2 linked regions of the Caenorhabditis elegans genome follow. The protein of the gene in region 2 interacts with the protein of the main gene of each other region in a pairwise test. Each region holds a gene or a part of one and is shown on either strand. Other genes may lie near its edges.

Region 1 (7,017 bases), on a different chromosome or scaffold from region 2:
TTTCTCCAAAAAAAAATGTACGGCTTCTTCAACTCATCGGAAATCGACGAAGAGTACTACAACTCGACACACACCTCTGCACCATCACCGATTCTCGCTCTGATATTCACAATTATTTGCATTATCGGAGTGATCGGAAATGCATCACTGCTCGTGTACATCTTCGCCAAGAAGCTCTACCAAAACTTTATCTCGTCTCGATTCATCGGACACTTGTGCTTCACCAACTTGATCGCGTTGCTCGTATTGGTGCCGGTGATCATTCATAACGTGTTCACCGGTGTCAACTTGCTTCAGGACAGCAATATGTTGTGTCGGATTCAGGTAACAGAGACGTTTTCCGCTGTCACGTGGAGTCAGAAAGTCCCATTTCGCTTTGATCTACGAAAAATGCGGGAGGTGAGACGCAGACATCTCAACTGATTGCTAGGCGAAAAATTCCCGCATTTTTTGTAGATCAAACCGCAGTGAGACTGCCTGACACCACGTGCGGTTTAAATTGAAAATTGCGAAAAATTCGCAAATTTCGCCGAAATTCTGTGATTTGTAGCTTTTGGTTTATTCAAAATTCTGACTTTTGACCAAACTTTCGGTTCAAAATTCATTTTTTGAAGATAACAAATTGAGAATTGCCTGTATATCTCTAGAAAAAAACAGTGAATATTTTAAAAATATTCTGTCGTTTGAAATTTCTGGGAAATTCCTACATTACGAATTTTCACCAATTCTTTCGGAAAAAAAAACGTCTTTTCGAGATAGAAATTCTTTGAAGCTGAACTGAATAGACTTGATGTACCATGCCACACGTGGTGTCAGAGTGTCTCATTTCGGTTTGATCTACGTAGATCTACAAAAAATGCGGAAGAAGCGACGCAGAGTTCTCAGAACGTACTGACGTCACATTTTTCTGGGCGAAAAATTCCCGCATTTTTTGTAGATCAAACCGTGATGGGACATACTATGTGTGACAATCGCAGTCTTCTCCTATCGGGGAAAATTCGCGAAATGGAATTTTTAGTAGATCACACAGCTTTTTCAAGTTCAAATAAAGCTCAGTAGCCTGAAGCTTTAAGCTATCTCAGAACCATGCCGGAAAAGCTTTCAAATTGGAATTTTTCACAATTCACGCAATTTTCTGCTTGTTTTACTAAACAGAAGCATTTTCCAGGTCTCCATAACCGTCACCGTCTGGACCGTCATCGCCATGATGAACCTCTGCATCGCCGGTGTTCATCTGCTAACGTTCGCCCGCATCCACTACGAGCAACTTTTCGGCCTGACACCCACCAAACTATGCATCTTGTCGTGGATAATCTCCTGGCTCCTCTCTCTACCGTCTCTAACCAACGGCCACGTGGCGATCTACGGCCCAGCGGTCCGAACTTGCGTCTTCTCACACTCGGACTCTGGCCTAAAATTCTTGACGTACACCATGATCTTCGGCGTGTTCATTCCGGCCTTATTCTCGTCGATCGCCTACTTTCGAATTCTACAGACTCTATTTCATAGTCCAATTGTGTTCCAGTCGCTGGGCTTGTACAAGAGCAGATTCCTCGTGTATTTCTTCCTTTTGGGGTGAGTTTTAAGGCCTTAGACTCAAAATTGACTGAAAACACCGAATTTCATAATGAAACTTCTTGAAAACTCCTCAAAATAGTTATGACGCCTCAAAAAATGGCCTAAAATTAGTTAGAATTAGAAATTTGATCTACTTGTTAAGCGGCTGGAAACTATCTTTTTTTTTCAAATTTTACCGTCAAATTTTGAGTATACAATGTAATTTCGGAACACGTTTCAATTATCTTGCGTTTTCAACTCAATCCAGGTATTTTAAAGTCGATGGACGGCGAGATTTGGTTTAAAAAATTTAAAAATCTCGCCGTCCATCAACTTTAAAATACCTAAATCGAGTTGAAAACGCAAGATAATTAAAACGTGTTCCGAATTTACATTTTATACTCAAAATTTGACGGTAAAATTTGAAAAAAAAAGATAGTTTCCAGCCACTTGACAAGTAGATCAAATTTCTAATTCTAACTAATTTTAGGCCATTTTTGAGCTGTCATAACTTTTTTTTGAGAAGTATTCAAGAAATTCCATTATGAAATTCGGCGTTTTCAGGCAATTTTGAGTCTAATAACACAATAAAAAAAAGGCCAAATCTCGTGTTAAAACGAAAAATTCCAAAAAAAAAAAATATGTATATATATTCATATTTCCAGTCCCCTCTACGCTCTGCCCTTCTACATCCTAACCGCCTTGGACCCGTCGGATCCCGTCCGAATGAGTCAGGACACACTGTGGACCATCGGATGCACCATGTTCGCCTTCGTACCGTGCATCATCGCTCCGTTGCTCTACGGAGCCAGCATTTTCATCATAAAGGAGGAGGATATGGCTCTGACGGCGAGGACTCACACCAAAACCGGCACCGGAGCCTATCACCACGTCGCACATCAGCACAATATGCAGGCTCAGCTGATTTGATCTGCTTTTCCCCCGCGCTTGCCAAAAAACGCCCATATCTTGCCCATTTTCTCCCCAAAAAAAATAATGCCATTTCCCTTATAAAGTCCCGGTCATTCCAAACCACTTCCCCACATGGAGACAGAGAAAGTCCCATTTCGCTTTGATCTACAAAAAATGCGGGAGTTGAGAGACGCAGAGTTCCCAACTGATTTCGTATGGTTAAGAACGTGGTGCTGACGTCACAATTTTTCTGGGCGAAAAATTCCCGCATTTTTTGTAGATCAAACCGCAATGAGACTACCTGACACCACGTACTTCCCGATAGTCTTTTGTATAGTGTCATTTTTTCAATTTTTGAAATTTCCGCGAATGTTGTATTGCAAAATAAATCGTATATATATTTCAGATTTTTCAAAAAAAAAGTACGTTTTTCTGAAATTGAGGTCAAAATTTTCAATTTTTCTCACGGGGTTCTGGCCTTCCTCGTTGAATTTTTCGCGCTAAAATCGAGCCGCGACGCGACACGCAACGCGCCGTAAATCTACCCCAGATATGGCCGAGCCAAAATGGCCTAGTTCGGCAAAAACTCTTCCATTTCAGTTTATGAGGGAAGCCAGAGATCCATTTCCGCTTGATCTACGGCGATCTACGAAAAATGCGGGAGAGAAGCGACGCAGAGTTCTCAACTGATTTCGCATATTGCTGACACGTCATTTTCAGGACGAAAAATTCCCGCATTTTTTGTAGATCAAACCGTAATGGGACACGTGAAACTCCAAATTAAAGACGCATGCATTTTTTTCTTGGCGAGACCCATCGGGAGGTTTTTTTTCCGAATATGTAATAATTGTTTTTTTTTCAAAAATCCATTCTCCTTCAATTTTGTTATAAAAATAGACATTTCGGAGGTTTTCGCTAATTTTCCGGGGAAAATTCGCAGTTTTTTGGCGGAAAATCGGTTAACTGGGGGGGATTTTTGCAAATTTTCAGGTGAAATTTTGCAAAATTTTACTAAAACTGGAGATTTTTTGCGGGAACCAGTGAAATTTCCGAATTTTCTCCGAAAAACCGCCTAATTTATCGATTTTTAGGCAAGGAAATCGGCAAAAACCTGAAAAACTGCAATTTCTTCCGAATTTTATTTAAAAAATCGTTTTTTTTTTTTTGGGGAGAAAATTGAAAATTAACCCAAATTTTCACCAAAAATCCGCAAAAATCACTGAATTTATCGATTTTCCAGCGGAAAGCTGCATTTTTTAAATTATTTTTCGCCAAAATTCCACGATTCTCACCAGTGAAAAGCTGTGGAAATTTGATTGGAAGAATGACGGCCTCCTTGAGCGCCTCTTTCGCTCCCTCAAGTCCTGCAATATCGGTCCACTTGACATTCGGCTTCTCCATCACAATTGCGCCCGACAGTTTGTCCTGAAAATTGCGATTTTTGGGCTGATGGGCTGAATTCGGTGATAATTTCCATTAAAATTTGATTACCTGAAACTTTTTCTTGTCCTCATCCTCGTCGGAATCGTCTTTCCCGTCTTTCACCGGCTTTTTCTGCGTTTTTCCGTCTTTCAGATGGGTTTTGATCTGCTCGGCGCGATTCAAATACTGCCCGACTTTGTCACGAATCGCATTACGCTGTTTATCGCCTTGTGACTCGTCTGAAAATTTAAAAATAATTGAAAATTAACATATTTTTTATTTTTTTCAACGGAAAAAACGGAAAAAACCCGGAAAATTCCGCTCAAAAACCAACATTTTATCGCATGAAGGAAGTATTCAATGGCCTGATCGTATAATCTCAGCGCTTGGTCGTATCTGCCGGCTGTATCCTCCTCGGTGGCTTTTGTCACCAATTCTATGGCCTTCTGGAATTAAAAAAATTTTTAAAAAATTAAAAAATGTTTTATTTTTCAATTTTTTAAACAAAAAACTCTAAAAACTCTACCTGAAGTGCCGGAACCGACATTTTTTCCTGGCGATAAGTGAGCGGTGGACGCTGAAATACGAAAAGTCAGCAATTTTACGAAAATCGATGGAGCAACAAGATGGGAGTCAAAAAGTGAATTTTTCAGCCCTAAACTTTAGAAAATCGATATTTTAACAAAATTCTAGCTAATCAGCATCAAAAAATCAAGTTTATAAGCAGGTTTTCGCGATATTTCTCGCTTTTAATGATTGTGAAATCATTGAAAACTGAGTCACGCTTTTTAAGCGCAAAACGAGAAGCGCGCCAGCTGGTGGTTGCTGACGCGTTTCCCGACGCTGACGTGATTCGCGACGAATTTTGGAGGGAAGTTTGAATTTAGATTTTTTTCCTGCAAATTTACCGAATTCAGAGACGATTCCATAGTTTACAAAACAAAATAATTAGAAATCTACAACAATTCAGTTAAAATTCAATTAAAAACCTGAAAACCCGTGATCATATCGATATTCATTTATTATTTAAAAATATATATATATGTAAAGACTGTGAAAATTCAGATTTCGTTGCAAGAGATGCTTCAGCATTTATTTCTAGACCTGAAATAACTAAAGCTGGAGAATGAATAGCCCATGCGCCTTTAAATGAGGGATACGGTATTTGATCTTTTTTCGTTTTAAAAACATGCTCTACGCAATAAGCAGTAGTTTGCAAAATATGATTTTCTTCAAAAAAAAAATATATTTATTATCAAAATGGGAATATTTTTCACAAAATCAATTCGTTCAGTTGACGGCAGCAATTTCCTGGTCTTGACACGACAAATCAAATTTAGCGCCTTCAAAGAGTACTGTCATTTCAAATTTTTTTCCAGAATTCTCAGATTTTTCAAAAAACTAGAATAAAATAATATGAATCGTGAGCAAAAACACGGGATTCTGGTATTCGTCATTGCAATTTTTTGCGCCCCATTGACAATCACCTGCCGGACAACGCGTGGGAAAGTTGTGTACTCCACACGGACAAATAAATTTTGTTTCACAATGAAAATCGAGCCGAGCCGCGACGCGACACACAACGCGCCGTAAATCTACCCCAACCGTGGCCGAGACAAAATGGCCTAGTCTGGCAAACTCTTCCACTTAAAAATGCGAGGGAATCCAGAAGCGCATGGAAAAGTTCAAAACTACAGTACTTTTTAAAGGCGCACACTGTCGCTACCGCTCGCAGCTCCCCAACACTGCACTGAAACCCGAGTTTGAATTGGCGGGTGCAGTGGGGCCGCCGCCGCCGCCGTCGCCGCCGCGACGCACGAGAGTTGAGAGAAGCGCGACGCGTGTGCAGTCCCCCCCTCTCTTTCCCTCTCAACAGCCTGAGAAATCGAGGATGCCAGTGAGGCGAAAAGTGTGTATGTGTGCCCCGCTGGCGCGACAAGAGAAACAGACGATAAAGCCGACGAAAAGAGCACAAAGAAGCCGGAGGGCGGCAGGCCGGTGCCGGACAAGAGCTGTCGACGGGGCGGCCGGCCGTGTGTGTTGGTCCGGCGGTCGCGTTTGGTGCGACACGCAGTTTAGACGACACGACGCGAGGGAGCATTTCGATTGAGGAGACCGCCCGTTGGAAAGGAGCCTGGCAACTAGCACTCACAAAATACACACACACACACACTGTGAGAGAGAGAGAGAGTGAGTGAGTGAGTGTGTTTGTGTGTTTGTCCCTCTCTGCTGCTTTCGCCTCTCTCTCGTCGTTTGCATACTTGTCTGTGGCCGCTGTCCGATACACGAAGAAGACGAAGACGGCGACGACGACAACGGCAACGCGCCTCGAACACGATTCGACGTGCGTCTGATCCGATTGCGAACGTTCGATCCCCAACCACCCTCTCCCATCACATCGGCCAGTAACTTCCAAATTCCAAATTCTCTATTCTTTTTTCTTCTTCTTCTTCTTCTCCGTCTTCCCCCCACACACTTCTTTCTGTCTTTTCCATTTTGCCTACACACGCCGTGAGTTGCCCTGCTCACCACGTCGCCGTTGACTATTCCGCTAATTCGTTACCGTTCACCACCGCCTTTCAAACGTTTCACTACTACTGTACTTGCTGAAACCACTGCGCAACCACCACCGATCGGAAGAAGAGCCGTCGCCACCGCGTCAAGATGCGCCTTATGGGGTGCGTCGGCGCTGGCGCTGATGCCGAAGGCCGAGAAGCACGCAAGGTCAACAAGCAGATCGAGGAGCAGTTGGCTAAGGATAAGCAGGTATGTTTAGGAATTGGTGGGTTTTTGTGGTTTTTGTTCATCGTCTTCCCCCCGCCCCCGCGTCGCCATAATTTCCCTCCCTTCCAAATGATCTGCCATTAAACCGGTAAGCCTCTAGCAACACATCGTTGAAATATTGATCGATGGGTGGAAAGGAGGGGGGAGAGGGAGGGCTTCGAATTTTGGAGGCCGCCAGGCGGCGAGGGGCGAAGAGTTCGTCGCTCTGCCCCGGGGGCCCCCCTCCGGCGGACGATGAACAAAAACGCGTTGTAACAGATCCCATCCTCAACACATACACACACACACACCAAACCCAGTTTTGTAGGTGATGCGAGCGACTCATCGCCTGCTGCTTCTCGG
Region 2 (9,777 bases):
ATGCAAGGAGGTAGAATCAGTGTCCCAAGAAAGAGTAAAATCAACAAGAAGAAATTAATAGAAACCGATCAGTTGGAAAATTGAGTGAAAATGTTTTCTTTTGAAGAAATCATGTTCTACTCTTATAATTAATACCCAGGCTATGATTTACAGAAAAAGGAGATGTTACAAGAATCATTCAATGTAACATGAGTGATGAAAAGCGGTTAAAACTGGAACAATTCAAAACTGAAGGCCTTTTGAGGGAGAGGCGGAGGACACAATGAAATATCACAGAAAATACACGAAAGGGGGAGAAAATGGTTTACCCTAGGGAGAAAATGGTTTACCTATTGATCGTAGAAAAACAATTTTTTGCGTGGCAATTATACTGCATTCCCTGATAACATACGATTAACGTTTGAAAAAATTGTATATAAAAATTATCTAATTCACTGGACTTATTAAAGGGGTGCAATATCAAGGGAATGGGAGAAAATACTCGTGTTTTTGAAGAGAATGGAGCGAGATAAAAATATGAGGGACATTGGGAGAAACTACATTTTTTCTTTACTTTCGTATTGATGCAGCTTCTGCTGAAGATCACGATTTGATGCTTCCAATTGGTGAACTTGCTCTGAAAATTATGATAATTAAATTATGGAAATTTTAATCTATATTTATTACTTACTTTTAAGGGATTTGTTCTCCTCACTAAAACAGTGCAATCGACCCTCAAGGGCATCAATGTACTCCTTTCTTTTTCGGCGAGATTCTTGTGCAGAAAGCTGAAATTTGAAATTTTTAAGATTATATATAAATATTAAAAGTTTGAAAAGTTTGAAACTGTTTATTTTATTACGGGAACACTAAATCATGGGAATGCGTATTGCGCGAGGTATTTGACTCGCAAAATATCTCGTAGTGAAAACTACAGTAACTTTTTAAATGACTACTGTAGCGCTGGTGTCGATTTACGAAAAACATTTATCAATCAATAAAATTTTTTAACACAGAAAAATAAAATTGAATATCGCTGTCACAATTCGAAAATAAATTCGTTTCGAAAATTGAGTCCGTAAATTGAAACCAGCGCTACAGTAGCTATTTAAAAAGTTACTGTAGTTTTCACTACGAGATATTTTGCATGTCAAATTGCTTTTTTTTAGAAAATTTTAAAAACTCACCTTGTTCTTGATTTTACGACGAACAATCTTCAAGGATTCCTCTTCACTTTTTGTCAGTGGGTATTTCTGTGGAATTGAATAGCCTTCTTGAACAAGAGTTCGTCGCTCTTCTGCTGACAACACCAAGTCTCCATTGGCAGTTATATTCTGAAATGTTTCATTATTACTTTTAGAAAAATTATAGATCAGAGTTAAAAATTTAAAAAAAAAGTTTACTTACCTGATCAGTGATTAGATGTTGTCGAATAGCCATTTCGTGCATCTTGTTTCTCGCTTTCAACTGCTGCTGAGCGGCCGCCAAACCCATGCCACCTGAAGAAAAATAGCATTTTTTTTTATTTAAAAAAATCAATTCTAAATACAAAATGTGTTTTCGATGTTTAATAAATACAGTAAACAAACGCACAAAATCACACAGTTTTATGTGAACTTTTGTTTTTTCTTGCAGTTTTTTTTTGACTTTCACATTGGTTCGAGCTAGTTTTTTGAAACATATATTCACGTACGCAATAAGAGGTCATCAACATCCATCACTTCTTGACTTCCTTCTGATCCGTCCAATCCGTCAGCTGAGGCTGCCGCTAAAAACATTTCACTATGAATTGTCATGTCGTGTTCTTCTTCGTCAGGACTCGAATCGTGTGAATTCGTTCCAGCACGAGAGTTCAGAAGGGCTGACAGGTCCATTTCGATTCCATGATCTTCGAGTTGCTCCTCTTTGATTTCGTCTTTGATAAAGACGTTGGCGGTACAACGTGTCGCCATCGTCTTTTTTGGGTTTTCTACAGTAACACGAATTTCAGTATGTTCAGAAAATTAGATAGAAACAAGGTAGGATGCTAAGATGATCAATAAGAAAACGACAGAAGGGACGAAACAGGTGCTGGAGGTGCCAGACACCACAAATGAACTGGAATGACAGGAGAAAAGGTGTGAAAGAGAGTGAGAAAGAGACTTGGAACTCAAAAAAGTACTCAACTTGTCCGGAACCTACATTTACCACTAAAAATGTATGATTCCCACAACGAAATACATCCTGAGCCGTATCAAAACAATTGTTTATTCAACTTTCAGAAATCGTGTTGTATGTGTCAAAAAGTAGATTTATGGAAAATAGGCACTGGTCGGACTGTAAAGAATCCACTCATTATGATGAATATTATGACATGACGTGGCAAATAAGAATACGAACTAAAAAGGCCCCAAGGGTAAATGAATCTAGAGGACATAGGGGGCAAGAAGAGGAGAGAAGAGGGTTTTCGATCGACGACCCTCAGCGAAATAGTGTCAAAGACAAAGAAACGCAGAGTTCGCAACGTGGCAGATGAGGGGACCGACCGATTAGAGGCATAGAGATGGGCTTTGGACACGCGATAACCTCGGAGACGCCGACACGTCACGCGTAGTGAAAATGGAAAAGGAAGAGACCCCGAGAGCGGTCTCTTTCCGTATATACACACTTTGCCACGTCAGAGAAGTCAGAGTATAGAAAAGAGACGGACGTGTCTCTCTTTCTTGCTTTCACATTCTCTCGTGGCTATTTCCCTATTTTTTCCCCCGTTGGCCATTAGGGTACCCAATGGCTCTGGGAAACGACGCGGCGACGGAAGCCGTTGGTCACGGACTGGTAAAAATAGGAGCTCATGTAGAAACTCGATGACGTTCACAAAAAAATCGGAACGAAAACGGGTAGAACAATTTTTTGTCACATCTCATCTGCCACGTCATAATATTTACTCTTTCTAGGTATATTGCCAAACTTCTCTACTACCACTATTTTCCTATTGTTTGCAGAAAAATAAAGTGATGCGATAATAAAGTGGGAATTTGAGTGCCCTCGTGGGGTAAAGAATTTCTAGGTGTGATGAATAGCCACGCCACAAAAAATTATATTTTTAATCTAGATTATTAAGAGATCTATGTTCCTTAAATAGAGACAAACATTTATTTGTTGTTTTAAAAACTTATGCTGCAAAATTGAGTCTAAGAAAAACGCTAAGAAAACATGAAACTATCAACTACAGTAACCCAAACCTAGTAAAAATCAGAAAGTGGCAAACTCAAAAAATAATTGTTACAGCATCACTACCATCAACCAATGACGTGGAAAAGTGGTTGAAAAAAAAACAACAATATTGGGTCGATTTAAGGAAAAAACGACGTCGATGAAGTGGTGATGGTGATAGAAGTGGACGAGGAGAAGAGGACGAAAGGAGTCTATGACTAGGGTGTAAGCAGCAGAATGCAGTCAGGAGTGTGTCAGAGACGATGCAGATGTAAGAGAAATAGAGAATAGATAAGGGACAGACGCGTGTCACATGACGTGGCAAAACGCAAAGCATCAGCACTTCTTGAGTGAGTTTGTGTGCATGTGTGTGGCGCATGGACATCTCGTTTTCAGACTGACACACTTTCGAGATTTTCCTGCACACACACACACACATACTGACGTGGCAGACCAGCAAACTTTCTCTCGTATCTTCTTTTATTTTTGGTGTTTCACACAGTCGTAACTAAACATAGATGCAACTATGCAGAAGCGAAATGACGTGGCGTGCGAAAATGGGAACTGACACACAAGGTGCTCCTTCCGATTGGCCATGACTTGAAAAATAAAACGAAGAATGCAATGGCACGTCGTCCAAAGTCTTGCAACAAACAGTATGCTTCTCTCAGAGAGCGCAGACAATGGGCGAGTGACGTGGCACTTCTTATTTTTATTTTCCTTGCGTATCGGAGAAACGTCCACAATTCTCGTTCCGAGGCAACGGCCAAAAGACACTGCCCGAAGCATCAGTCATAAAATAAAACCAATTTTAAATTTGGCATTTAATTTTTTAAATATAAAGCTGGAAGACAATAACCCATTAGAAAAATCTTAAATTCTACAAAAAGTACATCTAATTCTATGTCATGTCACTTGACACTCATCTGGTAGGAGAACCTCAATGTTTTTGAAAATCTTATGACGTGGAATTTTCAAAAGTATAATTTAAACGAGTTTTTCACTAGTCACATTGCATGTGTTTCTCTCAAATGAATAAAAACTGCTGGCTAGAGACATAGAAAATTATGACGTGGCAAACAGGATCAAGTGTGAAGAAGGACAACTTTGACGTCATCTGATCGTGACGGGGATAATGAACTAAATAATTGGCTTATTCTAGAGACGAGGAAGTACATTAATCCAGGTTCATTGAGGTGGGGAGTTATTTTTGGGAAGTAAAATTTCAGACGATAAAAGTCTATAAAAATCTGTGCGCACGGAAAGCTTCAGCTTCAAAAATCTAGCTCGAACCTATGTGAAAGCAATTTAAGCTCAAAAATACGAATTTTAATTGAAGTTTTTGGTTTGTTTTTTGAATATTCAAATGACGTACCCATTCCTTCATAAATTGTTGAATCCTTGAAGAGGAAAGTGTGCGGGACACTTGAAGAAGCGTATTGGTGACTGGGACCGGAGAATATTTGGTTCATGTTCATTTGCAGTGAAGCCTGAAAAAAGAATTTTCAAAAATGTTTCTAAATTTAATGTATGTATGTATAAATCATTTAAATTGAAAATAAATTAATTTTATAAAATTAAATAAAATATTTTACAAATAGTTTTTTGTCAAATTTAAAATCATTTCGCTGAATCTGATCTCACCTGAGATGGATGCTGAACCACATGATGCTGAAGATGGTGACTATGGGAGAAATGAGCCACGGATGGTAAAGGAGACAGTTGTTGTTGGTGGAGCTGATGCGAAGCCATTGAGTGACTTCCGTGCATCATTCCGTAAGACGACGGGCTGCTGAAATATACTTACGAACGATTAGTCTGTCTCAATGTAGTTAAAGTAAATTATAATTTAAAATTCTGAGAGAAATTCAATTTTTGCAAAAAAAAAAAACGATTTTTCAACAAAGTTATTGTCAATTCCAAGAAGATAATTGCAAAATTTTTAATTAATTGACATAGAAAATTGATTTTTTAAAAATGAAAAAAAAAACGTATAGCCACATGCTTCCACGTGGATGGAACACCGAGAAATGGGAGGTCTTCAAATTGGGAGGTCTCTGTGACCCACTGACCTAGTTTCGAGTTTTTACGTTTTTTTTTCTTTTTTTCACGCCGATAGTTTTCAACTTTTTGCTCCAAAACTCACTGCGACGATGTGGCCGACGGACTGAACGGAGCATTGAAAAGTGAATTTCCAAAATGAACATCGAGTCCGAGAGGCTCATCCTTGAATTCGTTCGGCGATGAAAGTGACGACGATGGGCTTCCCGATGATGATCCGTGATAGTCTGAAATAATATAAATTTAAAAAAGATCAAGTATTGGAGTTTCCAGGATCTGAAATTATAAAACCTCTTGTTCCATTTTCTAATTTTTTTTTCATATTTCAAAGCAAATTCGCCACCAATATGAAAAACTTCAACCTCGCCGGGTTGGCTCCTGACTCGTTTTGTTATCAGCGAAAAAAACCTTGTCCTTTCTTTAATTTTAATGGTTTTTCTCTGTCTTGAACCCTCCTAATTAACCGTGTTCTTTTCTTTCATCTCCTATCACTCTTTGTTCCACTTTTGAAACATTTAAGAGTTGTTTTACATGCTACCTTTCACTTTTTGTGATAACTTCCTAGCTCTTACATCCAACCCTTTTTTTGATAAGTAAACAAATGTTTCGAGAAGAAAGATAGAGAGACGAAATATACTGGGTCATAAATTGTGCATTTACGTCAATGACCTGCAACACGAGACACTCTTTTCTTCATGACGATTATTCCTCTTGGTTCCGGGAAACGCCATACTTAATTGGATGACAAAGTGGCAACTGTACTACAAATTTCAGGCCAATATACGTTCAGCGACAAGGTAGGATTAGGTAATTTCTCCGAGAGACCAGTACGTCATCAGTGGAACATGTGGCAGAGGAACGACAAAAAGTTGTAGCAACTTTCCAAAGCTTATCAGTAAAACAGTGCGTGATAATTCCAATGTACGGGAATAGTCAGTAGCAAGTCACAGTTATCGTGTTTTGTGCACATGCTCTTCCAAAGGCAACTTTAAAGCATAATAAAAGTATAATCTTTAAATGATAAAGTTTCAATTTCATCATAAACACTGAAAAAGAAAGAGAGATGATTCTAAAGTGATTCGGTTAAAATGTGAACTTTTGAGCTGATGGTTCACTGATAACACTCTCAAGTCATCATTAAAAGAAAAAAATGGAAGTAAAAAAATGATGAAGGAAGTGAGAAAATTAGGAATTAAAAAATATTTTTCAATATTCTAATTATTAGGAATTTAGCTTCATGAATAAGTTGGGAAATCGGAGAGTTAAAATGTGGCCTACCTTCCCCAGTGCTACTGTGACGTGACTGATTGAAAATTCCAGATAGTGGAGGAAATAGCATAGAAGGATGAGGCTTTTCGTCAGGTGGAGTACATGGTTCCCATTTCATAGGGAAATTTGGGATCGGATGCATCATTTGGTTCATTTCACAGTTATTGTTCATTCCCATATGCATCTGTGGCATATCCATTGGCATTGGCATTGACATTGATGAACGAGATGACGAAGAGTTCATAGTTACAGTTGTTGGTGGTACAATATTTACAGTAATCTGACGGAGATGTGAGGGAAAAGTTAGAGCCAGAATAATGTGATACTGTTCTTATTCTTGTTTCTTTTTCCTCCCCACTGACAGGTGGGGCAGGCGGCAGCAACTCAACAAGGGGAGAAAGATACAAAGATGGGGGGACGCTAATTTGATAAACGAGATAGTCAGAGAGTGCATGAGAAGCCAGTAGAATAGAGCACAAGTTTCGGAGAGAAAAACTGATAACAGTTTAACACAGTGCTCCAAAGGGGAGAGCACACATGTTAGTCACTTTTGCTGAATTCTTATTTAATTATTATTCTAAAAAGTGATGCAGATTTAAGTAAACAAACATGGCGATATGAATTTCTCAATTAAAGTCACACCTTTTTGGTCACATATAATAATAACATGACACTGAAAAGGTACTTAATCGATATTTGATGGCGGTCGTAAAACGGTCGAAGAGCTGATAACGAGATGTTGTCGTTGACGATTATGGATTGAAATCATGAATATACGCTGTTGATGTTTGATATGTGACTATGATTAGCTCACGTATTCAACTGTTGTGGACTGGGAAATAAGGAATATGACATCGGAAACCTAATAAAAGGCTTCAAATGAGATGATTGTAGCCAGTCGGCTGGTAGGGATTTTATGTTCGACTCTACAAAATGGCCTGTTGCACCATGTTGTTCCAACATTCTTCATTGAACACTGTTGTCAAAGTCTAGAAAATCACTTGATTTATCTGAAAATAACATTTACTCTAGCTGAATTATCTGATAAGGCACACAAACGGCCTGAAAGTTGCCGATTGTCAAAAAAACAAAGCTAGATTTTTTAGCTGAAAATAATGTTATTTCCAGATAAATCAAGTATTTCTTTAGATTTTGACACAATTTTTTGATTAAAAATTTTGGTCAAGTTTAGTTTCACACCATTTTGATTTTTGATGCTCATCAACGATATCACACTTTCATCAGATCACTGTCCTTTCTTCGCTCGTGCTCCTTTTTTTGCTGCCGTTTTTATTTTCCAGTGACCGATGACGTTATCACTTTATATCAACATCAGCACCAAGAGACATTGTTACGAAAAACGCTAGTACGGAGAGTGAAATTGCTGTTTTATCTCCCAGCCTTTCTTCTTCCCAAGTGCAAAGATTAATGCGTGTTTATTTGCGTTTCAGTTCCATTTTTAATTTCATTCTCTGTAAGCCTTGATTTTGAAACTTCCGAAAAACGGAACTCAACTTGACTGTAGCTTGATGTTATAAATGTTAAAAGCACTGAGTTATCAGTAATATTTCAAAATTAGTTGAAAGATAACTTTTCAAAATGTGACCATAAATCAGAAGAAAATTCTTTGAATGTTTGGAAAGGGCATATTTAAAGAAAGAGGTCTTACCAGAAGTTTCATCGTTCGGTTCCATTTTAATTCGGAAATTGTCGTCGGAGAATCCATCGATATCATTGTCGAAGAGCTTTAATATCTGAAATAAAGCTGATTTAAATTAGAAACTTGAATTTAAAAATAAAATAATTTTTGAAAACGTTGATACTCACATCAAGAGTGTCCTTCTCATCATGAACAGATGAAATAAATACATCTTTTTCGAGAACTCCACTCGTCGCCCAGTCGTCGTCCATCATCATCGCTTCCAGACTGCAAATTTCAATATATTATTGAATCGATAATCCTTTTTCGGAAAACGGACGGTGCTCATGATCACAGCTAAGCTAACGGACGGCTCATAACGTTTCGGGTGTGTCAATATCGGTGGTGCGGATTTTTCAAAGAATTTTGACCGAAAATTGTGACAAAAGGGAATTTAATTTTATAATAAATTATTTACAAGAAAAACACTTTCGAAAATATTAATTTTTCTCAAAAAATCTTAAATTTTTTACAATATCAAGCTTGTAAGCAGATTAGGAAAATAAACTTTCTTTTAAAAATTGATTTTAAGAAGCGAAAAGTATACGTGAGGACACAAAGAATAAATTTGAATGGAAAATTGGGAGCAAATCGGATAAAAACAAAATCCCGATCAAGGAAGCAACATAAAAGTAACAAAAAGTAGGAAAATTGAAAACATTGATTTTTTTCAAATTGAAATATCAAAAAATACAACAGTTTTTCTGAGTTTTTGTGTTTTAAAAGTGAGAAAATGATGATAAAATCTGTGAAGACAGTTGAAAACGAGCAAAGTTTTAGGAGACTAAAATAATGCAAATGCGCTCCAGCGGACTTGCAATTTTAAATTTGAATTAGGATTACTGTATTCGCTTCAAAACTGCCATTTAAATAAAATTCTAGGCTCGTTTTCGATGTTTAAAATTGTTATTTAAATTAAAAAAATTAATTTTAAAATTATCTGAAATTCCCTAAAGTAGCCGTGCGTATGCTTTTCAATTTGTGACAGTGCTCTTCTCGTTTTGTTTTGCAGCTAAACAAATAGGTCATGGAGGACGGCATCTTTCCGGAGAAGAGAAAAAGACAGAAAAGGGGACTGTTTGTAATATGAATACAATAGTATTGTACATACGTGTGCTCTATTCATTGATATCGAATAGAAGAAGAAGAAGAAGAACGAATGGACGAAATAAGTTCTATATGTTTTCGATATTTGGGTGATTGCACTGCGTATGAAACGTCAACTTTAACGTCGAGTATTTCAAATCTGAATAATAAATAGGTTATAGTTAAGTCAGATTTATATAAAGTTCAAGTTAACCGTTTATTCTCTGAAAGAATATCTCGTAATTGAATTTTCGTTCTTATCAGTTAGAACTGACTGATTTTTTGAAAAAAAGTGCAAAAAATTTTCAGCAATCAAAAGAAACAAATACTACTGAAAAATTCTAGGACATAAAAAATAAATTAAAATAAAACAATTCGATAAGTCCTATATCTTGCCACTTTTTTTGCATCGGTTTTTTCATAATTATTCTTCCTGCCATGTCACTTTCGGTAGTTAAATACTCAAAGGCACATAGATTTGTTCGAATGGG

Evidence for each region. The genes of interacting proteins can lie anywhere in the genome.
Region 1: the proteins of crh-2 (region 2) and vps-4 interact in a two-hybrid assay, tested with the Caenorhabditis elegans proteins (one large-scale study listed by BioGRID).

What each region holds. Positions count from the first base shown.
Region 1 is NC_003279.8:1,062,432-1,069,448, forward strand, and holds the start of vps-4 (vesicle-fusing ATPase), read right to left. Parts: upstream 4,469-7,017; 5' UTR 4,439-4,468; coding exon 4,418-4,438; intron 4,338-4,417; coding exon 4,226-4,337; intron 4,131-4,225; coding exon 3,961-4,130; intron 3,895-3,960; coding exon 3,762-3,894; intron 2,867-3,761; exon of another isoform or gene 2,488-2,866; coding exon of another isoform or gene 2,223-2,487; intron 1,576-2,222; coding exon of another isoform or gene 1,169-1,575; intron 325-1,168; coding exon of another isoform or gene 16-324; exon of another isoform or gene 1-15. Other genes in the region: npr-23 (G-protein coupled receptors family 1 profile domain-containing protein), read left to right, coding at 16-324, 1,169-1,575, 2,223-2,487; gsa-1 (Guanine nucleotide-binding protein G(s) subunit alpha), read left to right, coding at 6,556-6,657, 6,983-7,017.
Region 2 is NC_003280.10:5,179,142-5,188,918, forward strand, and holds the start of crh-2 (CREB homolog crh-2), read right to left. Parts: upstream 6,936-9,777; 5' UTR 6,746-6,935; coding exon 6,511-6,745; intron 5,460-6,510; coding exon 5,318-5,459; intron 4,964-5,317; coding exon 4,816-4,963; intron 4,662-4,815; coding exon 4,547-4,661; intron 2,840-4,546; exon of another isoform or gene 2,633-2,839; intron 1,948-2,632; exon of another isoform or gene 1,932-1,947; coding exon of another isoform or gene 1,673-1,931; intron 1,479-1,672; coding exon 1,387-1,478; intron 1,314-1,386; coding exon 1,167-1,313; intron 768-1,166; coding exon 671-767; intron 617-670; coding exon 537-616; 3' UTR 1-536. UniProt on the Caenorhabditis elegans protein: Transcription factor. Plays a role in regulating the developmentally arrested larval state known as dauer, when induced by long-term exposure to the Gram-negative bacterium P.aeruginosa PAO1, but dispensable for dauer formation induced by starvation.